Lonchura striata: one gene and its partners. The protein of the gene in region 2 purifies or fractionates together with the protein of the main gene of each other region. This does not show direct contact. Links are inferred from orthologs where the notes say so. Each region holds a gene or a part of one and is shown on either strand. Other genes may lie near its edges.

Region 1 (7,346 bases), on a different chromosome or scaffold from region 2:
GATCTTAACGTATTTAGGATATATTTCTATACAAAGATTTCTAATTTTATTTTTATTCATAATTCTTATCATAAAACCCCTACCTACTACCAAATAGAAAATAAAATCCCCTTTATTTTAAACCATATTTAAATATTTTTTTATTTCTATTTTTGATTTTTACAAGTACTTATATATTCTATCACAATATATTGAAGTACTATATTTCGATATATAAAATTTATGACAATGTGTTATAATGAGACATATTTAGTAAAATATTCATTATGTACTATATTGATTCCTATTATTTTGTATTTTTTCTATTTATATTTATATATCCACATATTTATACATCTCTATATGGATATTTTGTTTATATTTATGGTCTATATTTATATGTGTTTATATAACATATAAAACACTCTATATCAAACAATATAAAATCTAATATTAATGGATAATATTATTTATGTTACATGTGTTACTTATATGTATTCCACTTAAATTTCAAATTGAAGTTTTTTGTTCCCATTTTCATATTTATGCATTTGTTTTGTTTCATTAGAGTTATAGTTAAAACACTGCAGTTATAATCTAATTCCTAAAAATAAAATGCCAAAACAGGCAGCATCAAATTCCCACCAATACCGTCCAAAAAATTCCGAAAGGCTCCACCAGCCAACCAACTACCAGCAAAAAAAACCGCACTACACTCCTTTCACTGGCAGCTCTTATCACGTCACAAAAACGAAACATTTAAAAAAACCCTATAGAAACCCACACAGCAAATCACAAAAAATACTAAAAAAACAAGCACCAACTAACTTACTATACTCCAAACCATACAAGAGACCCTGAAAGTTTCTTAAAAAAAACAAAATTCTACCACTACACTGACTCATAAAGAGAACCCAATGCTCTATAAAATTAACTAAAAAACCCCACCAAATAATTACCAATATAAAAAAATCAAAACCACAAAGAAAGGAAAAACTCACCACCCAAATAAAATCACTACCTATAAAGATCTACCATAGAAATGCCCATGTTCCCAAAAAATTTATTTTATAAAAATAAAACTAATAAAAAACAACAAATACATCCAACTACAAAAATCATATTAACAACAACAAAATAATTATTCCTAACTCAATAAACCCATAATGCCTCAAACCATCAAAACACAAATACCACCTAGAAATAAACAAAGAGAAATGTAATCACAAACAATATCTCCCAAATTCTCTGGGACAATAAAACATTCTCGGCAATTAAATAAGACAAATGAATAAAACCCCTATAACATAATAAACAAGAATGCAATTATCAATATTTAAAAAACCTCATTAATTAACTACAGGACAATACCTCAAACCAACCAAAACAAACACAAGGCACTCGCGCTAATAAACGCCTCCACAACCGAATTCAAAACCTACCCTCTACTCCCTGCTCTGACCCATAAAAGCCATGGTAAACCGATCAAAAAGAAATCCAACAACACTCAACCCAAAAAAACCCTTGTCATGAGCACCTGAAGCAAAAACCGTAACAACCAAGAAGTCCCCACGGCCCTTCTCATGCACCAGCTACGAACAAAAGAAAACAATCGCATAAATTCCTCAAAACCATCTCAAAACCACCTCAGCAAGGAAGGCTGGAAAATGCGAAGCTGCGCTCCCGGCACCGGTCCATCGGTGACGGAGGTGTGAGTACCCCGAGTCGAATCCCTAGAGCACAAAAGCTTACAATTGCACCAGAAACTGAAACCTGAGCAAAACCAACTGCTTCTGTCCGCTGCTCACCTGGCACACTGGGCCTTGACTGCTGCTGTCTGCCTGGACCTCCTAAAAATAAAGGCAAAGAACACTGCTGTGACACAGTCACCATTGAGGCTGCTCCTGCAAATGCAAACAATGACTGACCTGCTCATGGCAACACCCTCACCCAGGACTGGGGCCCTTGGCCACAGATTTGAACTGTCTGCATCTGAAAGGAAGTCAGGACTAGTGTCAAACGGCTGCAGGACAACTTAGCATCACCAAACATGTTATGTCAATCTCCCCATATAATCCAGAGCCCAACTACACCCTGCATAACAAATTTCAAGTCCCCAGGACTTGTGCTATTACAGGCTATGCAGCAGGGCAGAGCAGCTGTGGGACAAATACGTGCAGACACCCGTGACACAGGACAGGGAGAGAGAGCTTTTGAGGAGAAGAAAGGACCGAGAGACCCAAAGAACACAGAGTGCACCAGAGACAAGTGACAGGACACACACCAGAACTGCTCTGCCCTGAGCACCTCAGCACTGTGGTCAAAACAGACACTTTCCCTTTAGGTGGCCTAAGGGGACACTCCTTGCACATCCCCATCTCCAAAACTGACTCAAAAACCCCTCCTGGGGAGTCCCAACCCAGCACCTCTCTTCCATCCCCTCTGTGGGTTGTAACCCTGCACTTATCTTGCACATATCAGGGGATGAAAATCCCCATCGGTGCAGAAGGAAGACACTGCTCCCATCTCCAGGCCCTGGCCCTGACTTATCTTTTGGATGACTGGTGATGTGAATCCACGTTGGACCTGAAATGAGTCTGGCTCAGAGGAGATAGCCTGTTAGCCTCTTAGTCTCCTAAAATAAAGAACGGGAAAATCAACGGTTGTGTTTCGTGTTATGTGGGCTGAATCTCAGCAAGTCACCTACTTATCCTCTCCTGAGTGTGCCTGGGTGCAGATCCAGAGCCCCTGGGTGTCCCGGGAATCGGGGGTGGCGGATCCAGAGCCCCTGGGTGTCCCGGGAATCGGGGGTGGCGGATCCAGAGCCTCTGGGTGTCCCGGGAATCGCGGGTGGCGGATGCGGGGTGTCCCGGGAATCACGGGTGGCGGATCCAGAGCCCCTGGGTGTCCCGGGAATCGGGGGTGACGGATCCAGAGCCCCTGGGTGTCCCGGGAATCGGGGGTGGCAGATGCGGGGTGTCCCGGGAATAGCGGGTGACGGATGCAGAGCCCCTGGGTGTCCCGGGAATAGCGGGTGACGGATGCGGGGTGTCCCGGGAATCGGGGGTGGCGGATGCAGAGCCCCTGGGTGTCCCGGGAATCGGGGGTGGCGGATGCAGAGCCCCTGGGTGTCCCGGGAATCGGGGGCGCTCCGGTGCAGGTGGAGGCGCTCCGGGAGGTGCTGGACGAGCTGGGCAGGCGGGACCGCCGGCGCCGGAGCTGGGTGCCCTGGGTACGGCGGGGCTGGGGGTGGCGGGAGCTCGCCCTGGGGGTCCGGGGGAGACCCCAAACCCCCTTTGGTGGGGGTCCGCGCCGGGGCTGGCGGTGCCGCCCCGCAGTGCGCGGTGCGGCGCGGGGCACGCACCGGGAAGCTCTGCAGCTGCCCCCGCGGCACCTCCTGCATCCTCTTCATCCTCAAGTGCTCCTGAGGGAGCGGGGACAGCGGGGGACAGCGGGGGACAGCGGGGGACACCCGCCTGCGGCCCCAGCCCCGTCCCCGCGCCGGGATGGACCCGCACAGCACCGCCGCTGCCCCGGCCCGCCGGCTGGCGATGTCCGCGGACACATTAAACCATTGGATCCACGCCTGCCGCCTGCTTTTTGGGGGAATTTTGAGGTTCCCAGCCCCCTCTGCCGCTGGGCAGGGTCCTGAGGGAGGGGTGGGGTCCCCATCCTGCCCCCCTTCCTGTCGGGAATCTGAGGTTGGGGCAGGAATGAGGGATAGGAGTGGGAATCTCATCCCGTTGTGGGAGAGGGGAAGCAGGAATGGGAGCGCTGCGGGGACGGGCACGGAGCTGAGTCCTGGATCCTCCCGTGGTCACGGCACCGGGGCGGATGGATGGAGAATCCGCGGGCAGCGGGATGCGGGGGGGCTCGTACAGCCCGGTCCGGACGCATCCCGCATCCAGAATTCCAAATCTCGATCTAGAATCCCGCATCCAGAATTCCAAATCTCGATCTAGAATCCCGCATCCCCATCCAGAATCTCGGATCCCCATCCATGGATCCCGCATTCCCATCCATGATCCCGCATCCAGAATCCTGGATCCCCACCCATGATCCAGCATCCAGAATCTCGTATCTCCATCCAGAATCCCTCATCCCCACCCATGATCCCGCATCCCCATCCCCGATCCCGCATCCCCATCCATAGCCCCCCAACTCGCGCGGCCCAGGCGGGCCCCACACTCTGCCCCACCCGCGCGTTGCCGTTTTAAGAACCCTCTCTCCTCCCTCCGCCCGCCCTCCCGCCTCCCCTGCGGCGCCTCCTATTGGCTGGCAGTGACATCATGGGTGTGGCATGGCCGCGGTGACGCAGGGGGCGTGGCCGGCGGGCGGGTGGGGGGCGCCGAAGATGGCGGCGGCTCCGGCGGCACCGGCGGCTGCGGCGGCTCCGGCCGCGGGGCCGCGCCGCTTCTCGCTGCTCGCCATCGTGGGCGGCGGCTGCCACCGCCCCGGCCTCCGGGCCGCCGCCCTGCAGCAGCTGGAGCGAGGTGAGACCGCATGATGCTCCGGGGGACCCGCCCGCCTCCACCGGAGGAGCCCCCCGAGGGGATGCCCCCGAGGCACCGCGGCGTGATCGGGCTGCCCCGTTCCTCCCCAACCCCCCGGGATTCGCTCCTTTGGCTTCTCAGGGTTTGCGCCCTGAAATTCCCAGGATTTGCCCCATTTCCTGCCCCCCACCCCCGGCCGGATCTGCGCCCTCGCGTTCGCCCTTGTAAAATCGCAGATCTGCCTCTTTTTGCTGCCCCAAAATCCTCGGGGGTCTGAAACCTCAAGCTCTTCCTTCCTCTCAAGACCCCCAGAATTTGCTCCTCCTGAATTTGTCCGCCCCCCAAGGATCCGCCCCTAAATGCCCAGGATTTACCCCAGTATTGCAGGGACCCCCCCCAGTCCAGCCCCCACACCCCCCTCTGAGCAGTCCCGGATTTGGGGGGGGGTCTCAGACCCCGGAACATCCCAGCGGGGCAGATCCCAAAGCCAGGATGGGAGGGACATTCCCAGCCCTGCTCCTTTGTCCCCTCACTGTGAGCCTGCCCCAAACCTCATCAAAACCACCCCAAAACGGCCACAAACCCTTGTGCAACCCCGGGCCGGTTACACCATCCCCCACCCATTCTCCACCCATTACCCAGAGCACCCTGGGCCACCCAAATTTTGGGGAATAGGCTCCCAAAATCCCTTCTGGGAAGTCCCGAAGGGCTGTTCAGGTGCTGCACCTGTCCCTGGTGCTGGCAGGTAGCGCCAAATCTTTTAATTCCCTAATTGGCACCTTTGGAGGTGTTGGCAGAGCTGCTCGTGCCCCGGGGGGTCAGGATTTGGGATTTGGCAGAGCCGGAGCTGCCGTGAGTCACGGCACAAGGAGCTCACCTGCTGGGCAGGTGTCGGCACAGGTGGGCTTGGAGGCACCCCAAAAACACCTTAGGGTGGGATTTTTGGGGGGGCTTTAGGGAGGATTTTATGGGGTCAGCCCTAGCTGGCACTGTGTGGGTTTTGGGGATGGCGCTGGCGGATTCTGAGCCCCCAGTCCCAAATTTTTAGTTAGCGTTTTTCCCCCACAGGGATCCGCTCGTGGGACATCGACCTCACCTGCTGTAACCTGGACGAGCAGCTGAAGCTCTTTGTGTCCCGGCACTCGGCCACCTTCTCCAGCATTGTCAAAGGTAAAATATGGGATAAAAACCAGGAAGAATGGGGAGAATGTCTCCTGGATGCCAGGGAAGGGTGGGAAAGGGGGTGTTGGAATCAGGGGTGCCCCCTTCCCATTCCCTTCTCCCGGGTTTTGTGGGAACAGGCCCGACTTTGTGTCCCTCCCATCCAAACCCCGTGATCCCCCACGTGAGGAGCCACATCCTTCTCCCACCCTGGGGCAGGATGGGATTTTCCATGGAGCGATGGAAATGGGAAAATGGAGCTGAGGCTGCCCCAGTGTCTTTTCCCCCCACATCCCACCCCCGGCTGGGTCCCCGCTGGGTGTTTCCCTGCTTACAGCGGGAAATCAACCCCAAACCTGCCCCTGGAGCACCCAGAGCATTTTGGGGGAGTCTCCCCCACCTGTCCCCGCTGCTGTTCCCTCCCCTTCCGGGCAGGAAGGACACGGGAAATGTGTCCCCCGGCCCCCACGGTGTCTGGCAGCGGGACCGTGCCTGTCCCTCTTCCTCCAGAAAACCGGGCAGCACCCGGCCATGCCACCCCCACGGGGACAAACCGGGGGGGCATGGCTGTCACCACTCCATCCCCGCAGGTCAGCGGACCCTCCACCACCGCGGTGACGTGCTGGAGACCCTGGTGCTGCTCAACCCTTCTGACAAATCGCTGTGCGATGAGGTGAGCTGGGGCCGCTGCTGCGGGACGGGTTCGGTGCTGTCCCCGCGGTGTCCCCTCTGTCCTGACACGGTGTCCCCTCTGTCTGTCCTGGTGTCCCCAGCTGCGGAACCTCATCACGGACGTGTCGCAGCACAAGCTGCTGGTGTTTGCGGGGCCCTGTGTGGAGGACACCGGGGAGATGATGCTGCAGACCGGCTGCTTCTCCCTGCGGGATTTCATCCAGATCTTCACGGACAAGGAGGTGCGGGGAGGGGGATGATCCTGGGGATTTAGGGAGGAGATGTTGGGAGTCTTGTGGGGCAGATCGTGGGGATTTAGGGGTGCAGATCCAGGGAGTTTTGGAGTGCAGATCCAGGGAGTTTTGGAGTGCAGATCCAGGGGATTTAGGGGTGCAGATCCTGGGAGATTTGGGGTGCAGATCCTGGGGATTAAGGGGTGCAGCTCCTGGGAGTTTTGGGGTGCGGATCATGGGGATTTAGGGGGGCAGATCCTCAGCTGGATCCACAGCTGCAGCCAGGGTGAGGGATCAGGGAAAGCCCCACCTTGGGAGCCACCCACCCCCCAGGACCCTGCCCAGCAGCAGAGGGTGCTGGCACCCCAAAATCCCTCCAGAAAGCAGGCAGCAGGCTTGGATCCAATGGTTTAATGTGTCCCTGGACACCTCCCACCCCCACGGGTCCATCCTGGTGGGGGGTGGGGGTGACCTCGGTGCCCCCTCCTACCTGAAGCTGCCGCTCTGTGCAGGTGGGCGAGATCCTGAGCTCTGCAGACCCCTCGGCCAAGGCCAGGCTGACTATCAGCTGCCCTGATTTTGGGGAGTGGAGGGACTCGGGCTTGGAGCACCACAACCTGCAGGACTTCATCGAGCTGCGCTACAACCCCGGCTGCGTGCTGCCGCAGATGGAGGGGCTGGAGGAGTTCATGGAGTACCTGTCGGAGTCTCTGGAGCCCCAGTCCCCCTTTGACCTACTGGAGCCCCCCACCATGGTGGGATTCCTGAAGCTTTCCAAACCCTGCTGCTACATCTTCCCAGGCGGGAG
Region 2 (7,092 bases):
CTCTGGCATGATGATGCCCTGGAAAAACAGCCAAGTACCCATTTCAGTTACACCCTTTTTGCCAGCAAAGCTGCCTGTGGCTGACGTGAGAGCCTTGTCCTGCCCTGCAGTGGCCAAGCATAAAAGCATAAATGCTGGGTTATAAACAGCTCTCCAGGTCACACTGAGCCCCTGGGATGGCAGCTGCATGGGGCAGACATAGGCACTGGCTTGTTTTGACAATTAACTCTTCATTTGACATCTATCAGTGTTTTCATGTTGAATTCTGGACTCCCCAGGGAAGTACCCTTTTACAGCCCTGGTCTGAGGCTGCTTGGCACACTGTGTACAGAGGGGCATCATGGTCTGGTGATAGAGCCTGGAGTTAAACTGGTCCCAGCTGGTGTCTGGGCCTTTGGGAGTTAGGCCATGAAAGTCTTTAAACAGCAAAGAGGTTCTTGGGGGCTTTAATCCATGCAGTGGTAATCTCTGGAGAAAAGTGTTTTTATGTGTTTCTACTGCCTTCTTGTGAGCTGAGGGGAGAAACTGAGTATGGGGGCAGATCTGCAAAGAGGCTGCTGAGAAAAGCTGGGAGCAGAGGGGCTCTTCCCCACTGCCAGAGGCTCCCACACTGCTTCCTGGAGGAGATGGGTCTGTTGGGCAGTGGCCGTCTGGGCTGTCCCCAGTGGCAGCACGCTGTCCCCAATGGGAGCACGCTGTCCCCATCGCAGCTGGCGGCATGGCCTGGGAGGAGGGTGATGTGCCCTGTCAGAGGTGCCTGTGGCTGAGCTGGAGACACGGCCCAGGCTGGGAGCTGGAGCTGGGGAAGCTGCATAATGGCAAGCTGAGCTGTTGGGGCTGGGGCTGGCATCAGAGCAAGGTGGACATGGATTCACACCCCATGCTTGACTGCCAGCGTGTTGGTGGCACAGTGACAAGCAGCTGCATGCTGGGGACCTCCTGTAGCCCTCAGTCAGGCTGCTGCCCTTCTCCATAGCTCTGCTTTTGTGCCTGCCCCTGCCAAGGGCTAGGGCTGAGCCTGGGGGCAGGCACAGGGAGGCAGCGGGAAGCACAGATATGGGCTCCCTGCTCTGCCCAGAGAGTGCTGAACTCACTCCTTGTTGCTGAGCCAAGCTAAGGAACGGACTTTTTCCATTTGGCTGCTTCCAGAGCAGCCTCCTCCCCTTCCTTGGCTATTTTTACTCTGCTGGAGAAGGCAGCGCTGTTTGAAGCTGCACGGTCCCCTCCAGAGCCGAACTCAGCACGCTGCTCTTGGCTGGGATGTTTCCTTCTGGCCGGCCAGCCCTTCCCCGGGTGTTCATCTTCAGGGAAATGACGAGCGGAAAAATCTGCTCAGACAAACGGCTCTGGAGCATGGGGTTCACTCTGCTGCCACACGCAGGGTGCTGAGGTCTCAGGGCTTTCTTCTCAGCAGCACAGGCCTCAAGGCTGAACACTTACTCCCAGCTGGACCCCAAAGAGGTCCTTGTTTCATCTCAATGCCCACTGGAGGGTGGATCCATCCCCTCCATGTACCCAAAAGCATACCCTGACCACCTCTGCCTGCCCTCCTGGAGGACCATGCGTCTTGTGCATAGGGCTGGCTGCCTTCTCCCCAGATTACAGCATCCTTTTCAGGCTGTTAGCACCTCTTCTTCTTGCACTGCATCTCCCACCAGGTTCCTGTCATCTGGGACCATATCCTCAAGAAAAACTCAGGGAAGTGGGAGGCCATTGCCAAGCACCAGGTGAAGCACGCTTTCAGCCCCACTGAGGAGGAGCTGAAGCTGCAGGCAGGCAGGTGAGGCTGGAGCAGGTTTGCAGAGTGCCCAGTGGAACCAGTATCCCCATGAGCAGAGCTGGAGCTCGTCACTGGGAGGACAGAGGGGTCCTGTGGCACTGGCTGGAGATGTCCCCTCAGTGGCAGGGTGCAACAGGGATAGCTCACTGTCGGCCATTCCCTGTAAGCAGCCTCATCCCTCTCTGCCTGCACAGGTGGGCACAGACCTACAGCCTGGACATGATGGAGGCTCTGGCCCCTGACAAGCCCCGTTGCAGGGTGTGTGGTGTAGAAGCAACCAAGCGCTGCTCTCGCTGCCGGAACGAGTGGTACTGCACACGGTAAGGGAGCCCTGCCACCCCCTTGGGACCCCTGCAGCCCCCCTGGGCCTCCCTGCAGCTCCTCAGTACTCCCCAGAGCACCACAGGGTCTCACTGGAGAATTCTGTGGGAGGGCCAAGCAAAGCCAGGGGTCCCACCACTGCTCAGCACCACCAGCTCTCTGCTGGCCATGTACCTCTGTGAATTTTGTGGGGAGGCTGATGTGCTGGGCTGCTGGTGGAGGAGGTGTTGGTGAAGGTTATGTTGCTGAGGTGCTGAGCTGCCTCTGCCCACAGCAACAGCAGTGACAGGCTGGGTTTTCCATGGTGACACTGTCTTCCTCCTCCCACCTTGGTGGGGCACAAGTAGGAAAGCACCCATGACCCCATGGGTGCAGGTGACAAGCTGGGATGTGGCAGCTGGGACGGTGGCAGTAAATTAAATCTCTGGTCCTGGACCATCTGGCAAGGTCTGTCGTTAAACCTTCTTAACCCCCAGCACTGGGGCTGCATCCACCCCCTCTTAGTCTAATGCTGGGCTGTATCAGCTCTCTCCCAGCTCACAGAGGGTGCGGTCATGGAGTTTGTCCTTCTTGCTGCTTTGCCAACAGAGATGGATATGACTCCAGTGCCCCTGACAGCAGCTTCCCCCTCTGCAGGGCATGCCAGGTGCAGCACTGGCAGAAGCACAAGCCTGCCTGCAACCTGATGGCTGAGGTGCCAAGGAGTGTGGATGGTCTGTAAGAAAAGTGGTGTCTGGCAACTGGCCCATGGCTCACAGAGTCGGAGGTTCCCCTGGTGTGTAGCCCAGAGCGGGAAAGAAGCTGGCAAGGGCCCCTTCTGCCTGCTCCCAGCTGCAGGCAGCACAAGCCTGGGCTATCCTCTCCTCTCCCACCACCTCACCATTCTGCCTTCTCCAATAAACCTCCTTGTGCATCCCACAGTTGCTTGGCTTCTGTGTTTTCTCTCCTAGCTGAACGTAACAAACTGCTTCGTCCCCTCCTTTCCACAAAGTGGGAGGCGTGTGTCCATTTTCTCTGCAACAACAGAAATCCCTGAGAACCCGAAAAAAATTGTGAGGGTATGGTTACCTTACTGCATCTGGGAGGGAAGGGAGTGAGAAGGCTTCTGTGCCGTCTCACCATTGTTAGAGCAGCGTGGGGAGCAGAGGATGTGGTTTGCACGAGCATCTTGCTGTGAGAAAGAGTTTCTTGGGTATTTGTCATCTCCCACCTTGCAGGGACAATTCACCCCATTTCCTCGCTCTTGATGTGATGTTAGCACCAAGGGCTTGGTCCTCTGCCCACCAGCATTACCAGTAAACAGGTTCTACTGGTGGGGATACCCTGGGGTGCATCTCACTGGTCAGCAGCTGCTGCCAAAGGGCTGGAGCCTTGGTCTGAGCACAGCTGGGAAAGGTTGGCCATGTCCTTTTTCTGATGGGGCACTGGAGAATCCGACACATAAAAATAAGCTTTGCACCAAGGCTGCTGCTGCAGGAGCCACGGCAGCAGGCAGGAAACCATCTCGTCCAGCTGCAGCCGCGGCTGAGCAGCCCGCGCCCGGAGCTCAATAAACTCCTCACCCCAAACCCGTGCTGCACGTCCAGGGCTGCAGCCACCGGGAGCAGGAGCGCTCTCCGTAGCTCTCGGTCTGCTTCTCACCCGCCGCCAGGGGTGCTTCCAGCCCCTTCCTCACTGGGAAACTGAGGCAGGGAGCACAGTTTGTCCTCCTCCTGCGAGAAGAGGCAGAGAGAGCGGAGCGGCTGCAGCGGGCCCCCCTTCCTCCGCGGCGGCTCCGGGAACCTCATCCCCGCCTCCAGCCCGCCCCGCCGGGCTCGCCGGGACTGGAGTTGGCGATCGGGAGCCCGGGGCATTGAGCCCCATCTTTCCTGCCTCAGTTTCCCCGCAGTGCCCGATCGAGGCGGCCCCTCCCGATCCCCGCCCCGGCCCCGGCCCCGGCCCGGTGCCGGCCCCCGCCCCGCCGCCGAGCTGCGCCCGCGGCCGCCGGGCCATGGAGCTCATCGAGCTGCGGGAGCTGCAGCCGGAGCCGCGGCCGGGCCGGGGCCGCCTGGAACGGGCCAACGCGCTGCGCATCAGCCCGGCCCGCCGGCCCGGCCCCGGGGCGCACCCTGACCCGCGGCTGACGGCGGCACCGGGCGCCGGGCACCGCTTCGAGCCGCGGCGCCGCGGGCTGCACACCTGGTGCGATCTCTGCGGGGACTTCGTCTGGGGCGGCGGCAGGAAGAGCCTCCAGTGCCGCCGTGAGTACCGCGCCGCGCCCCGGGCCCCCGCACCCCCGCCGCCGGGCACGCCCGCACCCCCGCCAGGCTCCGGGCGTCCCGCCGCTCGGCTTCCTCAGCACCGGGCACCCCCAGCGAGCACCGGGCATCCCCACCACCGGGCACACTCACCACTGGGCGTTCCCACCGGGCATCCCACCAACCGGCCACCTCTACAGGACACCGAGCATCCTGGTAGTAGGCAGCCCCGCTGAGCACCGGCTGTCCCACTGGTGGGCATGAGTTTCCCAGCACCGGACATGCTGCCACCGGACACTCCCACCACCAGCGGGTGGGGCATCGGGCACCCCCACGGGCCCCCACCCTCTGGTAGTGGGCCCCCTCACTGTGCACCGGCTGCCCCACCACTGGGCACAGGCATCCCGCACCAGGCACCAAACATCCCAGCACAGGGCACCTCAATAATAATTACCCCCACCAGGCATCCTGGTGCCAGGCATTTCCATTAAGTTGGGCATCACCATTCTGGGCAGCTGCAGCAGGCACTGGGCTTCTGGGCACCAGGAGTTGCCACCAAACACTGGACACCCCTGGATCGGGCACCCACACCAGGCACTGGCAGCCCCATACAGAATACCCTCACACGGCACCATGCATCCCTGTACTGGGTACCTGCACCAGGTACCAGGTATTCCAGCATGGGGTACCCACACTGGCCACTGGGAATCCCAGCACTAGACACCCACACTGGGCAGCCCAGTACCAGGCACTGAGCACACCATGCTGGCCAGCACAGCAGGGAACACAGCAGCCCTGGCCAAGACATGGCACAGTGCTATCTCCCTGAGCCCCTGGGCACAGCATGAGCAGACAGCTGATGCTGTCACCGTGTGCCAGCCCTTGTCCCAGCCAGTGCCCTGACCCCCAGGCTGTGCACAGTGGTGACCCTGCTTCTGTCTCTGTCCCCAGACTGCAGCTTCACCTGCCACTACCGGTGCCGGGCCCTGGTGCAGCTGGACTGCGGTGGCCCCCCAGGTGCTGGTGATGAGGACGATGGCAATGAGCAGGTGCTGGAGAAGGACACCAACGTGGTAAGGCCTGTGCCTGTCTGTGAGGGAGAGCTTGCGCAGGGAGTGGCAAACTGGGGGCTACGCTGGGCTCGGGGGGGCTGAGCTGGGCTGTGCCATGTGAGGCCATGGCATGGCATGCCAGGCTGTGCCATGCCAGGCTGTGCCAAGCCTTGCTGAGCTGGGCTTGGCTGGGCTTAGCTGAGCTGAGTGCAGCTAGCATGCCAGGCTGTGCCATGCCAGGCTGCACCATGCCAGGCTATGCTGTGCCACGTTGGGCTGTGCCAAGCCTTGATGGACTGCACTGCGCTGGTCTGGGCTGAGTAAGGTCGTGCCATGCCATGTTGTGCCATGTCGGGCTATGCTGTGCCAAGCCAGGCTGTGCTGTGTCCTGCCCGTGCCGCGCCGCCCGCACCACACCGTGCCCGAGCCGAGCCGAGCGCAGCCGGGACTCAGCCGTGTCCGGGCGGGCGCGGGTGAAGTCACCGCCGGAAGCGGGGCCGCCGCGCCGCCCCCGGCCCGCGTCACCCCGCGGCCGGGGCGGGGCGGGGGGGACCGCGCTGAGCCGGGAGCGGGCAGGGCGCGGTAGACGCCGCGCCGAACCGAGCCGGGACAGGAGCGCGATAGGGACCGGTCTGAGCCGAGCCGAGGACGGGACCGCGATAGACGCCGGGCGGAGCCGAGCGGGACGGTGATAGGGACCGGGCGAAGCTGAGCCGGGACTGAGAGTGCGACCGGGCGGAGCCGAGACGCCATAGGGACCGAGCGGAGCCGAGCCGGGCCAAGGGCCGGGCTGAGCGGAGCCGGGCCAAGGACCGGGAGCGGGCTGAGCCGAGCCGGGAGCGGAGCGAGCCGGGCCCCGGCCCGGGGGCCGGTCGGGCTGGCGCGAGGCCGGGCGTGCCCGTGTGCTCGCCGCCCCGGCGGGGCCGCGGGGCGGCCGGGCCGGGCCGTGCCCACCGCCACCGCCGCCGTGCCCGTGGCCGGGCCGGGGGCCGGCGGGCCCGGGGGCTGCGGGGCGGCGGCGTTGGCTCTGCGGCGGGGCGGCGCGGGGGGCACGGGGGGCAGCACGGCCAGCAGCGGCTACTGCAGCCAGGAGGACTCCGACTCCGAGCCCGAGCTCTTCTACACCGCCCGCACCTCCCTCGGCCGCCGCCCGCGCCGCCGCCAGGTCGGTCCCGGGCCGTGACGTAATGGGGGACACGGGTGACGTCATCGGGAGCACATTCCCCCGGCTGGGTGCTGGGGAGCAGGCGAGGGTGGGCTTGGTGCGTGGGGAAACTAGAGGTGTCGGTGGTCTTTTCTTAGAGGTGAGCTTGGCCCTGCTGTGGGGCAGGAGTGGGGTCGAGCATGGCCGTGCCGGGGGACACGGTGGCCCTGTCCGGTTGGATGTGGGGCGAGTGGAGTTTCGCTGCCTGGCATGGGCATGCCAAGGTCCCCTCAGGGCTGGAGCTGCTGGAGTTTTGGGGGTGCCGGGACAAACTCCCCGAGCAGCTTCACAGCTGTCCCCATCCTGCAGGGTCCTGCAGTGCCTGCATGCTGTGGGGCGGCTGTCGGGACTGGGGACCCCTCAGTGCCGTGGGGACATGTGCAGCGCTGTGTGGCAGCTCCGCGGCCCCGCGTCAATACTCATTAGCGGGTGCCGGTGGCAGCGACGCCGAGCCAGGACGCTCGGTCCCCCGTGTGCGGGGCCAGCACTTTGAAGTGG
Region 3 (6,923 bases), on a different chromosome or scaffold from region 2:
AGAATGATTTAAAAGTCTACATGGTGGCACATGCTCCAAGTAGTACTTTAAATACAAGGAAAAATTGAGTTGTTTGAATTCTGGTTGAGGAAAGAAACAGGATTTTAACATATTTGGTTTTAGCCAGGTTATGTGTTACAGCAGGGGGAAGAGTCTGGATTGATCAAGAGTAAAATCTTTTTGTTTACTTCCAGCACATGCCATCCCTGTCACTCAGGTTTTCCATCATTTACCTGTCCAATCTCCTGTTTGGTGTCATTTTATGACAAACAACTTCTGTATAAAGGAAAACAAATGTATATTATTTTTTTTCTATTGAGTTTGTTTTGTTCCGGTGTAATATATTGTCCTTAGAACATCATGTAAAGCCGAGAGAGGAAGCAACTGACACATTATTTATAATGAGTATAAAAAATACATTAATGTACAATGCATACTTGTGTCTTTTTGGTTTTTATCCAGCATGAAAATAATAGAATAATTTGGGTTGGGAGGGACCTAAAGCCCATCCATTCCCACCCCTGCCATGGCAGGGACACCTTCCATTATCCCAAGGTTGTTCTAAGCCCTGTCCAAGCTGACCTTGGACACTTCCAGGGATCCAGGGACAGCCACCACCTCTCTTCCCATGGATGTTGTAAACACTTCAAATAGTATCTGCAAGTTTATCAAAGGCATGCACAATAATAAAAAGGATGGCTTGACAGCTGTGAAAAAGTAGTTTTTGCATTACAAAAGTATGACATTGAAGTGTAAAAAGCTGACAGGTAGTGAACACACCTTGGCTTCTGTTCAGCTGAAGTTGCATCCCTACTCTTCGCCTTTATATGGGAAGTATTGGGGGCTCGTTGCAAGATTTTCACACAGTCCTGGGGTGGGAAAAGCAGGAGGGGACCAGCGTGGGTCCCTGCTCCTGGTCAGGCAGGGGGACGGGGTACAGAACTGTGCCTAGTTCTGGGCTCCTCATGACAAAAAACACCGAGGGGCTGGAGGATGTCCAGGGAAGGGAACAGAGCTGGGAAGGGAATGGAGAGTTCCTGAGGAGCCGGGAAGGGAATGGAGAGTTCCTGAGGAGCTGGGAAGGGAATGGAGAGTTCCTGAGGGAGCTGGGAAGGGGCTGGAGAGTTCCTGAGGAGCTGGGAAGGGGCTGGAGAATCCCTGAGGAGCTGGGAAGGGGCTGGAGAGTTCCTGAGGAGCTGGGAAGGGGCTGGAGAGTTCCTGAGGAGCTGGGAAGGGAATGGAGAGTTCCTGAGGAGCCGGGAAGGGGCTGGAGAGTTCCTGAGGGAGCCGGGAAGGGAATGGAGAGTTCCTGAGGGAGCTGGGAAGGGAAGGGAATGGAGAGTTCCTGAGGAGCTGGGAAGAGGCTGGAGAGTTCCTGAGGAGCTGGGAAGGGAATGGAGAGTTCCTGAGGGAGCTGGGAAGGGAATGGAGAGTTCCTGAGGAGCTGGGAAGGGAATGGAGAGTTCCTGAGGAGCTGGGAAGGGAATGGAGAGTTCCTGAGGAGCTGGGAAGGGAATGGAGAGTTCCTGAGGAGCTGGGAAGGGACTGGAGAGTTCCTGAGGGAGCTGGGAAGGGGCTGGAGAGTTCCTGAGGGAGCTGGGAAGGGAATGGAGAGTTCCTGAGGAGCTGGGAAGGGGCTGGAGAGTTCCCGAGGAGCTGGAAGGGGCTGGAGAGTTCCCGAGGAGCTGGGAAGGGAATGGAGAGTTCCTGAGGGAGCTGGGAAGGGGCTGGAGAGTTCCCGAGGAGCTGGAAGGGGCTGGAGAGTTCCCGAGGAGCTGGGAAGGGAATGGAGAGTTCCTGAGGGAGCTGGGAAGGGAATGGAGAGTTCCTGAGGAGCTGGGAAGGGGCTGAGCCTGGAGCAAAGGAGGCTCAGGGGACTTTGTGGCTCTCACAGCTCCTGCCAGGAGGGGACAGCCGGGGGGGATTTGGGATCTGCTCCAGGGAACAAGGACAGGAGAAATGGCCTCAAGTTGCTCTAGGGGAGGTTTAAATGGGATACCAGAGAAAATTTCTCCACAGAAAGCGTTGTCAGGTAGCAGAAGGGGCTGCCCATCCCTGGAGGTGCCCAGGAAGGCCGGGATGTGGCACTGAGCGCTCTGGGGACAAGGTGGGCACCGGGCACGGCTTTGGACTCGTTGATCCCGGAGAGCTTTTCCAGCCTCGGAGATTCCATGATTCCATCACTGTGGGGTTCTGTCGCTCTGTCATCCCGGGGTTTCTGTCATTATTCCAGGATTTCTCTCATTCTGGGATTTCTGTCATTCCAGGATTTCTGTCACTCCGAGATTTCTCTCATTCCGGGATTTTTGTCATTATTCCTGGATTTCTCTCATTCCAGGATTTCTCTCATCCCGGAATTTCTGTCATCCTGGGATTTCTGTTATTCTGGGATTTCTGTCATTATTCTGGGATTTCTGTCATTATTCCGGGATTTCACTCATTCCGGGATTTCTGTCATCCCAGGATTTCTCTCATTCTGGGATTTCCGTCATTCCAGGATTTCTCTCACTCCGGGACTTCTGTCATCCCAGGATTTCTCTCATTCCAGGATTTTTGTCATCCCGGGATTTCTGTTATTCTGGGATTTCTGTTATTACTCCGGGATTTCTGTCATTATTCCAGGATTTCACTCATTCCGGTGTTTCTGTCATCCCGGGATTTCTCTCATTCCAGGATTTCTGTCATCCCAGGATTTCTCTCACTCCGGGATTTCTGTCATTCCGGGATTTCTCTCACTCCGGGATTTCACTCATTCCGGTGTTTCTGTCATCCCAGGATTTCTGTCATTCCGGGATTTCTGTCATCCCGGGATGTCTGTCATTATTCCAGGATTTCTGTCACTCCGGGATTTCTGTCATCCCAGGATTTCTCTCACTCCGGGATTTCTGTCATCCCAGGATTTCTGTCATTCCAGGATTTCTCTCATTCCGGGGTTTCTGTCATTCCAGGATTTCTGTCACTCCGGGATTTCTGTCATTCCGGGATTTTTGTCATTATTCCCGGATTTCTCTCATTCCAGGATTTCTCTCATCCCGGAATTTCTGTCATCCCGGGATTTCTGTTATTCTGGGATTTCTGTCATTATTCCGGGATTTCACTCATTCCGGGATTTCTGTCATCTCAGGATTTCTCTCATTCCAAGATTTCTGTTATTCTGGGATTTCTGTCATTATTCCAGGATTTCACTCATTCAGGGATTTCTCTCATTCCAGGATTTCTGTCATCCCAGGATTTCTGTCATTCCGGGATGTCTGTCATTATTCCAGGATTTCTCTCACTCCGGGATTTCTGTCATCCCAGGATTTCTGTCATTCTGGGATTTCTCTCACTCCAGGATTTCTCTCACTCCGGGATTTCTGTCATCCCCGGATTTCTCTCATTCCAGGATTTCTGTCATCCCGGGATTTCTGTTATTCTGGGATTTCTGTCATTATTCTGTGATTTCTGTCATTATTCCAGGATTTCACTCATTCCGGTGTTTCTCTCCTCCCAGGATTTCTGTCATTCCAGGATTTCTCATCCCAGGATTTCTCTCACTCCGGGCTGTCTCCTCCCAGGATTTCTCTCACTCCGGGCTGTCTCTCCTCCCAGGATTTCTCATCCCAGGATTTCTGTCATTCCAGGATTTCTGTCATCCCAGGATTTCTCATCCCAGGATTTCTCTCCTCCCGCCCGCTCCGTCCCCGCCGCTCCGCCTGTGCCGCGCCCTCCCTGCCGCGCGGGGGCGCTGCGGCCGCTCCCGCGCTGCCCCGCTCCGCCTGTGCCGCGGCCTCCCTGCCGCGCGGGGGCGCTGCGGCCGCTCCCGCGCTGCCCCGCGGCCGTGCCGGAGGGCGGCGGCCGCCGCCTTCCCACAAGGCCCCGCGCGCCCGCCGCGTCCCCTCAGCGACCCCGGCCCCGTCCCGATCCCCGTCCCCGTCCCCATCCCAACCCCGCTCCCGGTCCCGGCTCGGCCCCCGGGGGCGGCTTCGGAGCGGGGAGCGGCGCCGGGCATGCGGGCGGTGGCAGCGGGCCGGGAGGTGGGATGCTGTCGCGGAAGAAGACGCGGACGGAGCTCTCCAAGCCGGGCGAGGTGCAGGGGAAGTACGTGAAGAAGGAGACGAGCCCGCTGCTGCGGAGTGAGTGTCGGGGGCTCGGGGGGCCCATCCCGGCCTTCGTGTGCGGCGCGGCGGGCCCCGGAGCTGCGCGGCCGGGCGTGAGGGGGAGTTACCCCTGTGGCTGCGTGTAAGGGTTATTGCTCCCTGTAAATGTGTGCTTAGTGCTGCTACGAGCCCTGGGAGGTGAAAGCTGAAAGGAAGTTAAAGCTCAAAGGAAGCTTCAAAGGGAGCCCTGCTCGTTCCAGCGTTTTCTTGGTGGGGTTTGTGATTTTCTCGGTGGCTGTTTCAGCAGGCCTCAGGGGTTCAGAGTTGTGTGAAATGAAGCCAAGAGCTCTCAGGGTGTGCGGGATGGGGAAGGTGCCTGCGGCACGGGCGGCCAGCCCGAGTTGTTCTGGGTTCCGTCCATCCATGAGCCCGCTGCCCCACCTGGGCATTGTCAATGAGATAACTGTCCCGCCAGACAGGTAAAATATCGTAAAATAAAATCCCTGCGGAAACAAATGCTGCAGCTCCTGCCCGTGGCTCAACCTGGGCTGCCCCTGGCTCTGATGCCGCAGCCCTGCGCTCCTGAGGCTGGACACCACAAATGCACACCGAAAGTGTGCTCAAGGTTTGGTTTTGTTGGTCTTGAAACACAACCCGACGCTGAAATGGGTCTGTGTGCTCAATAAATTGACTGCTGACACCTGGGGTGCACCAGATTTTAACCGTAAGCTGTAAGAGTTTATGAATAAAAAGTAATTGACAATAGGAGTAACGTCGTTCTAAATGAAAATTATCATCTATATTGATTTATCTGGAAGGAATCTATGTATTTATATCGTGTTGAAAGTAAAAGTAGGGAGAGGAGGAATGTTTCACATACTGGAGGGAGGCAATGAAATTCTAAAGGAGAAAGTGAACTATCTCCCTGATAATTTGAGAACTTAATGCTTATGGAATGACATCGTTTTTCTGGCTGAACTTTGTGACTTTGGGATTAGTGGGGGCAGCGTGAATTCTATCTTGGATTCCTGTGGGCATTAATATCTTGTCATTCCCAGTTTGTAAGGACAACATTCCCAAAGAAGCAGTAGCCAAGATATGTGGATTTTTTCTGAGAGATACGAACCCTGACTGATACAGCCACAGCACAGTGTGGGTGGTTTGGTGTTTTGTTCTTTTCTTGTGTGGTTTTTTTGATGGGTTTGGGGTTGGTTTGTTTACTGCAGCTGCAGTTTTACTGGCAGAATGCTCAGCGGGTTCCTGGTGTGGTGTGTGCGCCAGGATTCTCTGCAGCGTTACCACCACATTTGCACAGGCGTTAGCGGCTCCTGCACGAGAATTCCCCCAGTTTGAGTGTGTAAATCACCGCGGCTGCTCCGGCAGAGTTCTCACCTCTCCTCCGTGCTCTCTGGCAGATCTGATGCCTTCCTTTATCCGCCACGGTCCGACCATTCCACGACGAACCGATATCTGCCCTCCCGACTCCGCATCCTCTGCCTACGCGCCCGGCGGCGATGGGATCGTGTCCCGCAACCAGAGCTTCCTCCGAACTGCGGTGCAGAGGCCGCCCCACGAGATAATGAGGCGAGAAAGCAACAGACTGTCCGCACCTTCCTACCTGGCCAGGGGCTTGGCGGAGGTGCCCAGGGAATACGGCTCCTCCTCGCAGTCCTTCCTGGCAGAAGCCGCCCCCGGGCTGGAGAACGGCGACGCCGGAGCCCGCGGCTATTACTACGATCATTTCTACGATGCCCAGAGGAGACGCCTGCACGAGGACTACAGGTATTACGAGCACAGCAGCGATCTTTTCCAGAGGATGTCCCAGAATCATGGGAGGCACACTTCAGGTAAGGATTCGTTGTTGCTTTTGTTAAAATTCCGGTTTTGGTGAGAGTTTGGGTGCAGTTTGGGGAGTTTGGATGATCAGGATTGTGTCTGAGGTGTGTGGGACAGAGCTGCTTTTTCATGGCATTTCTGGGATTTGGGTAATTGGAATTGAGGGTTTGGTCACAGATATCCAGAACAGAAAAATAGACTTAAACCAGGATTATTTTCTTAAATAAATGGAGTAAGGCCAAGCAAGTTTTGGGGTTTTTAATGCCAGGCGTATGTACATCTTCTCTACACATCACTTGCTGGCTAGCAGGGAATTTTATTTGTTGGGGGACATCTCCTATTTTCATAATGTAGAGAATAACCAACAACTCTAAATTACAACATTACATTATTATTATTATTATTAATGTTAATATGAATATTAATTGTTATTGTTATTAGCATTACATTTTAACTATCGTCTTATTACTTCATTTCATTGTTTGAATTTGACTTCAATAATAGAAATAATTCCTTACAAATAGTCATAGGGAAGAATGACTGTTTTTTGTAATTAGTAAATTGGCATCTAATTAGTGTTGGCATTGACTCCTTAATCCTTGACTCCTTTCGTTCAGCTTTTAAAATTGTTTGTAAATATGCCTGTTCCCCTCTTAGTTTCACTGGAACTTGCCTTTGTTTCCTAAAACAAAACAACATAAAAAAGAAAAATCCATTACATACTACTTTTCTGAAATATTTGACTCTGATATTATAAAAACTATGCCCAAGAAGGAGTTTGGAACATTTCAAACCTGTAAATAACATCCCTTCAATATGAAATACATTGTCACTTGTAATCTGTGAACAAAGTAGTAATTAGTGGCTAATAAAATGAATCTCCTGTCTAGAAAAAGAAATCTGCCAGGAAGAACATCAGCTTTTAATGCTGCTGACCTCATGTGTGGGATTAGAACCTGTCAGTGCCTTCTTCATCAAAGAAACACTTCCATGAAAAATGGAAATGCC
Region 4 (6,824 bases), on a different chromosome or scaffold from region 2:
TCAGGCTGGTGCTGTGACCATTTCCCTGGGGAGCCTGTTCCAGTACCCAGCCACCCTCTGGGTGAAGAAACTTTTTTGAATACCCAGCCTAAACCTTCCCTAACACAACTTCATGCAATTCCCTTGGGTCTTGTCACTGGTCACCACAGAGATCAGTGTCTGTCCCCCATCATGAGGAAGCTGTAACTGCACTGAGATCTCCCCAGTCTTCTCCAGGCTGAACAGACCAAGTGACTTCAGCTGCTCCCTATAAGCAGCTCCCCTCAAGGATCTTCATCATCCTCATGGCCCTCCTTTGGATGCTCTCCAATAGTTTTGTATCTCACTTTTACTGTGGCACCCAGAACTGCCCCCAGCACTTGAGGTGAGGCCGCCCCAGGGCAGGGCAGAGCAGGACAATCCCCTCCCTTGTCCATCTGGCCATGCTGTGCCTGATGCCCCCAGGACACGGCTGGCCCTCCTGGCTGCCTGACTCAAATGCAACCCCAGGTCCACCTCCACGGTGCTGCTCACCAACCTCTTGTTCCCCACTCAGTATGTCAAGTGATCTGAAGCAATCCATATGGATACGTATTTCTTTTATGGTAGGGATGACACTTGACCTGAGACAAAGGGCCAGTCTAAAGGTTTGTACATCACTGAAACATCATCTAAAATTTGAAATTTGGACCTGAATGAAACTTGAATATTAGTGGGTAACAAATGGCACATACTACCAAGAAGCATGTTTTAAACTTCAAGCACTTTATTTAAACTGTGTCTTTTAAAAATACAGCATTGAAAAAATACAGCTTTGCAAATACTATTTGACCACATTCAGCTGTGGGACTCCAATTTGGTATTGAACATAATAAAACAACAAAATCAAACCAAGAAGATCAAAAGCCAGACAGGTGCAGATCTCAATCACTGTCTCTTTGAAACAGTAAGATATATCCCACAGTCCATGAATGGTGCAGTTTCTTCTACTGAAGGGGCATATCTATGTAATTTAGCTGCAGATAGGCAGGTGGTATCACTCTCAGACAGTGATTAGTGTCACAGGACACTAAGTCAGCTTTGTGCAGCATATCTCCACATTTCACTCAGCAGTGGACCTGATGCTCCATGTTGCAGAATATAAATTAGTTTCCAGATGATGACGAACTAATCTACCTGATTGAGATACTGACAGGGCAAGACACAGTGTGGAAAAGTGGCTATGGAGCTGGGACCCTGCAGCTTCCTCAGAGATATGTTCCAGAGCATAAAGCACCTTTCTTGTCTAGCTTCCATCTCTGATGAGGCAGCATAAGCTTATGAATAGACAAAGCCAGAGGTCGGCATCCTTTGAAGAGTTTACCACAAGACCATTTCTTTCCAAAGACAATCTTTTGCCCTTAGGGCTTTAATGGGTGATGCATCACCCATCACAAGACAGTTTGACTGTAACAGTTCATCTTTTATCATACCACTTTCTAACTGCATGTTATTTTACACTGCAATGTGAAATAGAGGACTACCTGAGCAGCCTATTTCATATGTAACTGTATCACCTACCTGTATGTAAGCATTTTATTCTCTGGTAAAATGCATTCTTTTTGGCTCTTGCTTTTCAAACTCACTGGCATCTTTCCAGCTATGGATGTTTCCATTTTTACTTAAAATAAGAAAGTGCTTAAAAGTGTATACAGTGTCTTTTGAGTACTGGTGTGCATTTCTCTATCACATTTAACCTGCTGTACTTGTGAGGCAAGTAACTATTTTACCTTTATGTCCAGGAACCAGCATCTGTCTGTTCTGCAACCAGTTGACAAGACCCCTTGGCGAGCTCCATCCATGCTTGAGAGACTAGCTATTCTTGCTGGTGATTGACATAAAGGCATGCCCAAAACTACAGACTGCAGTGACAGAAGCCTGAAGCTGGCATTCTCCAGTGGGTACCACATGGCAAGTCTTGAAGGTAACTATAATTATAATAAATTATTAGGAAGGGGTTCATATAGGAAAAGGCTATAGGGGATAGATATTATTTCTAAGTAGGCATCTACACCATCCTATGACAGGAAACAGCAAAGTCACAGTGGGGCCCAGATTAGCAGGGGTATTCCACGAGGAACACACTGCACCTTTGAATACCTTGCAAACCTTAAAAGTGCTGCTAGTTCTTCTGCACCTACACTATTGCATTTGTTCTATCAGCAGTGTCAGCTTCAGTGAAGAATGAGCACTGCTGCTCTTTACCACTGTGTCATCTCAGCCGCCTGACATGGCTGTGAAAATGCTTGTCTGCACTCCACAACCTTTAGAATAACGGCAGCTCAGGAAAAGTCTACTTTGGATGCAACATCCAAACACACCACACTGTGTAAGCCAAGACTCTGAGTGCTGTATTTATGCAGAGGAAGTGTTCATATCAAAACCATTAGGTGCTATAGACACTATGGACCAGCACTTATAATGATCCTGTTCTAACCTTTGTGGGTTGAAACTGTAGCCTCTAAGCTAGTAAGACAGAAAAAACTTAGTAGTGACAACCTGAAATGCATGTGAATTAGTCCACTGTGCCCTGGAACAAAATACAGAGAAGATGAGGCTGATATACTCGTTCATCCAGGCAAGCACTGTGCTCCTAAGCAGTAGGCAGAGAATCTGCACATCCAGCACTGTAAGAAGCTGCAGACAGAGGAGGTGTCTTCTCAGTCAGGGACAAGAGGTTATCTTAAAAAAAAAGCTATAAAAGTTTATATCCTTTCCTATGTCACAGTGAAATTTATCCCACATCACTTGAACCATATAAACAAGAGGCTTAAGTGTAAACGAGTGGCTTGGCTATGTCAGTAAAGTGAGAGGAACATCCCAGACAGATTTGACTTCTCCATCATTAGGAGCAAGTAACATACTTTTCAGAGGTTGCTATCACTGAGTATTGGGATGTAGATACTAATATCTATGAGAAAAGAAATTAAGCCTTTGGTTCTGTCATTGTATAAGTTTTCTGCTATCATTGCCCCATGGAGATGCTTGAGCCTGGTCAACATTACTTATTAAAGCTCTTGAATTTCTGCAGTTTTGAATAAGCTAAGACTACGGGCTTCAGCATGTTGTCCAAAACTAGTGTTTTTCTGGTGTCATATATCCGTGGGCATTGAATATGTGCAGAAGAACTATGTGTGAAGTATCTTATCAAATTAACTGCTTTTAAATTTAAAAAGTTAGCAAGAATATTTAGATTGCTGGGTGAGGGTGTGTTTCAGTATGACTCAAATTTTGCGGCAGTAGTACAGCAAGACGTAGGAGAGGACAACTGGCTTTGGGCAGTGGCACTGCTTTTTCATCCGGTTCTGGACCGCTGCAGGAGGCGCGATGCTGGCTTTGCCACATGAGCCCCGCAGGTCTGCCAGGCCATCACCTGCGGCTCCTCATCGCCCTGTTTTAAGGGACGGGCCTCGGGGTGACGGCCCGAACGGGCACGGGGAGCAAGGGACAAGAGGGGAGTGGGCTCGGGGGTCGCACGGCCGGGCCGGGAGCCAGGCGCGGGGCGCAGTCCTTGGCGTCCCCTCGGGGCGTTGTTCGCCCCCCGCGTCCTTCCTGCTTCCGGGGGCCGCCGCGGGGAGGATTTGCCGCAGATGACATCAGCCGTGGATGCTGGAAAGGCGGCGGCGGCGCGGAGGATGCGCCGGCTCCCCCCCTTCCTCCTCCTCCTCCTCACCAGGTCCCTGCCCTGCACCGTCTCCGTATAAAAGCGCCGCCGCCTCCCCACCCGCCCTCACTCCCTCCTTGCCGCCCGCGGAGCCGCCGCCGAGCTCAGCGCCCCGGAGCCGCGGGGCGGAGGCGATGGCCACCGTAGTGGTGGAAGTGGACTCGGAGCCCTCCTGCAGCATCCCCAACCCGACCTCCACCTCGCCCAGTCTCTCCCACCGCTTCCTAGACAGCAAGTTCTACCTGCTGGTGGTCATCGGCGAGCTGGTGACCGAGGAGCACCTGCGGCGGGCCATCACCAATATCGAGCGAGGTGAGGCGGCGGGAGCCGGGGTGCCGCAAGCAGCGCCGCGACACCCCCGCCGGCGCCCTGCCCCTCCCTGGGCGCGGCCGGGAGCCGGGATAGCCCCCGACATCATCCCGCCTAGCCGCCGTCTTCGGCTCTTTATTCCCCGGGGGTCCCGCCGCAATCGCCCACCCACCCATGCTCCGCCGCGGGGTGCGGGCGCTGCGGAAAGCCGCAGCGAGCCCCGTCCCCGCCATCGCTGGGCGGAGGGGCCGGCGGCAGCGCAGCGCCCGCCGCCGAGCCCGTCTGCCCGGAGACACCGGGGTGGGCGTGGCACGGTCCGCACTGCGGTCCCGGTGGCTGCTCGGGGCGGACAAAGGGCGGCTGGGGATGGGGTGGATGGGCTGGGCTGGGGCTGCGAGGCGGCTGCCGCCCGCAGTTCCCCGTCCCCCACCGCCGCGCTAAGCCCGCGGGTTCGGGGCGTTTTCCCTCTCGGCAGCAGAGGCTGCGCGGGCGGGAGCGCAGCCGCGCCTTTGTGTCTAACTTTGGGTGCTGGGACTTTTCTGTCGTCTGGACAATTTTTCAGGACCTAAGTTCTATATACGCGTATATATTCCAATAAAGAAAACCTTTATGAGTAACAAGGCTGTTACCCGAGGGCTCAGCCTCGTTATTGTCCGACTGCGGGCTCCTCTGACTCGGCGTTTATTTGTCCTTTTCTTAAGACGGCGATGCAGCGTGGTATTGCAAATGAAATGACAGTTTTATAAGTTTTCGTTGTGGTTTTTGATACAATAGATTTCAGTGTATATGCAGAGAGGAGAAAAAAAAAACAAAAACAAAAACAAAAAAAAAAAAAAAATAAACGGTATCAGTGGAATAAAGCATGAAGAAAATTATTGCCGGACCTTACAGTTACTTAAACTCAGTTGATAGCTGATTTTATAATATGTATTTTTTGTTCTGGGCTGGTGAAAACAAAGATTTATGGAACTGCCATTGTTAAGAGTGAAGAAGAGATCCCGGAACGAGGAATTGGTAGCAGCCTTGTCATGTAGGTGTGGTTCAGCAGTCCAGCTAGGACTTCATCTGTGTCTCTCTATTGTTGCTTTCTCAACCATTGTTGCTTTAGTTGCTTATTTCTCTGGATTCCTTTTCATTACAGTTTGAGGTAAAAGGCATCCTCATCTCAGCTAACTATTTCCATCATAAACTGTTCTATCTTTATTGCTACCATTGTCTCTTGGGGAGAGCTACTGAGGCAGGTGCTTTGTCATTCAGAGCTTCTTCAGCATCGCACTTCCTTAACTCTATCTAATTTTCAGTTGTGTCAGAAAAGAACAGGCTGCATTTTAATTAAATTGTCAAAGATTATAAAGCAAATTGGTAAAATTTACTCCCTCAAGACAACTAATATCCTCCCTCTGAAGAAATGCTCTCCAGTCCCTTCTTGAATCTCCTATTGTACAGTCACTGCTGCATAGCTCAATTACTGCTATCTCCTGCCACTAAGCATAACACCCACTTACAGGTTTAGGTGTTCAGAGGGAGTGTTTGACCTTTTAATTAATCATTTTGGATTAGAAGTGACCTTGATGCTTCTAGTATTAGACCATTTGATTGAGATTTTTGCCTCCTAAGAAAACTCCTTGGTGAAATTTTTAGGTACATTTTTCTGGATAAATAAAAGTGGGAGTCTGACGCTTTGTCTATGTGAGGCAATTGCAGGCTCAGCTAATAATTTTCTCTTTGGAAAGTCTGCTGTAGTCTGGGGAAAAAAATACTTCTTGCTGCCTTTATTCTCAATAGAGCTTTAAATGCATTTTGGTTCTCCATAACTCTGCCTTACTGTCTTCTCTGGTACATCTCCTGAGTACCATCACTGAAAACTGTGGATTCATGCGCCAAACTGCAGAGCAACGTGTCAAAGAAAACATCTGCTGATAACACATCAGTGGTGTGATGCTACGCAACCTGGTGGAATGCAGAGTCATTTCTTAATATATCATGGGGAGGGAATGGTGTGGCAAGACGCATTTTCAGTAATTACATTTTGGATGTGACTTTGCTAAGGGGGCAATTCTCCAACAACCCACAGTCCACCAAAAGAGAAGAGGGGAGTGAAGAAGAAGCTTCAAGATTTTTCCACTGATTTAGCAGATGCTACTGGGTGTGCCCTCCCTGCTGTCTTATTAGTCCTGTGTCTAGTGGCATTGCATTTCTAAGACTGCAGAAAGAAGGAAATAGCTCCAGTTCAGCCATGTTTATAGCAGATATGTCCACATTTCTAAGCCATCATTGGATTGACCTTGGATTTTAGTTCCATGTTTATCTTTGTTCCACCGAAAACCTGATTTAGTGGTATCATTCATTTAATACATTTTACTCCGCTATAATACGCATGCATAATTTTTGCATCCAGATTGCTGAATCATGCAGTTGCATATTTTAGATAGTCTACCCAAATTCCACCTTCAGCTTCTAGGACTACTGCGTGCATAGGGCATAAAGGCTTTTATCCCCTATTTTTTTTCCCCCTATTTATTTTGTGTTGAGTCCTGTATTTTGGACATTGCCTGGCTCAATCAGGCAATGATTGAGCAATCTTGACTACATCTAATCAGCACCTTATCCCTACAGCAAATTAGGATCGCATCTAAAGCAGCTAGGGATGGTGGATGAGTCCTTTCATTAGCAGTGTTGATAAATCATAGTTCATGTCAACTGACCTCTAGAAAGGATTGTAGTTTCTCTGCCCAAGCTTGGTGTCATAGGCCAGGGAATTGTTTTTCTTCAAGCTTCTTGAAGTTCAGCACTCATTCATTCAGTGTATTTCAGCTTTGTGATCAATGTCAGT

The links.
Region 1: the proteins of RASSF1 (region 2) and MAP1S purify together in Homo sapiens (affinity purification with mass spectrometry; 4 studies listed by BioGRID and IntAct, counting the BioPlex papers as one, with this or other methods). This does not show direct contact. The link is inferred for Lonchura striata from reciprocal best matches to the Homo sapiens genes RASSF1 and MAP1S.
Region 3: the proteins of RASSF1 (region 2) and SAV1 purify together in Homo sapiens (affinity purification with western blotting; 3 studies listed by BioGRID, with this or other methods). This does not show direct contact. The link is inferred for Lonchura striata from reciprocal best matches to the Homo sapiens genes RASSF1 and SAV1.
Region 4: the proteins of RASSF1 (region 2) and MAP1B purify together in Homo sapiens (affinity purification with mass spectrometry; 3 studies listed by BioGRID and IntAct, counting the BioPlex papers as one, with this or other methods). This does not show direct contact. The link is inferred for Lonchura striata from reciprocal best matches to the Homo sapiens genes RASSF1 and MAP1B.

Annotation. Positions count from the first base shown.
Region 1 is NC_134630.1:7,898,820-7,906,165, reverse strand, and holds the start of MAP1S (microtubule-associated protein 1S), read left to right. Parts: upstream 1-4,333; coding exon 4,334-4,472; intron 4,473-5,540; coding exon 5,541-5,642; intron 5,643-6,223; coding exon 6,224-6,306; intron 6,307-6,406; coding exon 6,407-6,547; intron 6,548-7,050; coding exon 7,051-7,346. UniProt on the Homo sapiens protein: Microtubule-associated protein that mediates aggregation of mitochondria resulting in cell death and genomic destruction (MAGD). Plays a role in anchoring the microtubule organizing center to the centrosomes. Binds to DNA. Plays a role in apoptosis.
Region 2 is NC_134614.1:8,485,063-8,492,154, forward strand, and holds the start of RASSF1 (ras association domain-containing protein 1), read left to right. Parts: upstream 1-4,091; coding exon 4,092-4,341; intron 4,342-5,289; coding exon 5,290-5,411; intron 5,412-7,092. Other genes in the region: ZMYND10 (zinc finger MYND domain-containing protein 10), read left to right, coding at 1,659-1,780, 1,975-2,100, 2,738-2,822. UniProt on the Homo sapiens protein: Potential tumor suppressor. Required for death receptor-dependent apoptosis. Mediates activation of STK3/MST2 and STK4/MST1 during Fas-induced apoptosis by preventing their dephosphorylation.
Region 3 is NC_134608.1:2,199,276-2,206,198, reverse strand, and holds the start of SAV1 (protein salvador homolog 1), read left to right. Parts: upstream 1-3,918; 5' UTR 3,919-4,021; coding exon 4,022-4,115; intron 4,116-5,494; coding exon 5,495-5,926; intron 5,927-6,923. UniProt on the Homo sapiens protein: Regulator of STK3/MST2 and STK4/MST1 in the Hippo signaling pathway which plays a pivotal role in organ size control and tumor suppression by restricting proliferation and promoting apoptosis.
Region 4 is NC_134642.1:15,334,144-15,340,967, reverse strand, and holds the start of MAP1B (microtubule-associated protein 1B), read left to right. Parts: upstream 1-3,801; 5' UTR 3,802-3,816; coding exon 3,817-3,994; intron 3,995-6,824. UniProt on the Homo sapiens protein: Facilitates tyrosination of alpha-tubulin in neuronal microtubules. Phosphorylated MAP1B is required for proper microtubule dynamics and plays a role in the cytoskeletal changes that accompany neuronal differentiation and neurite extension.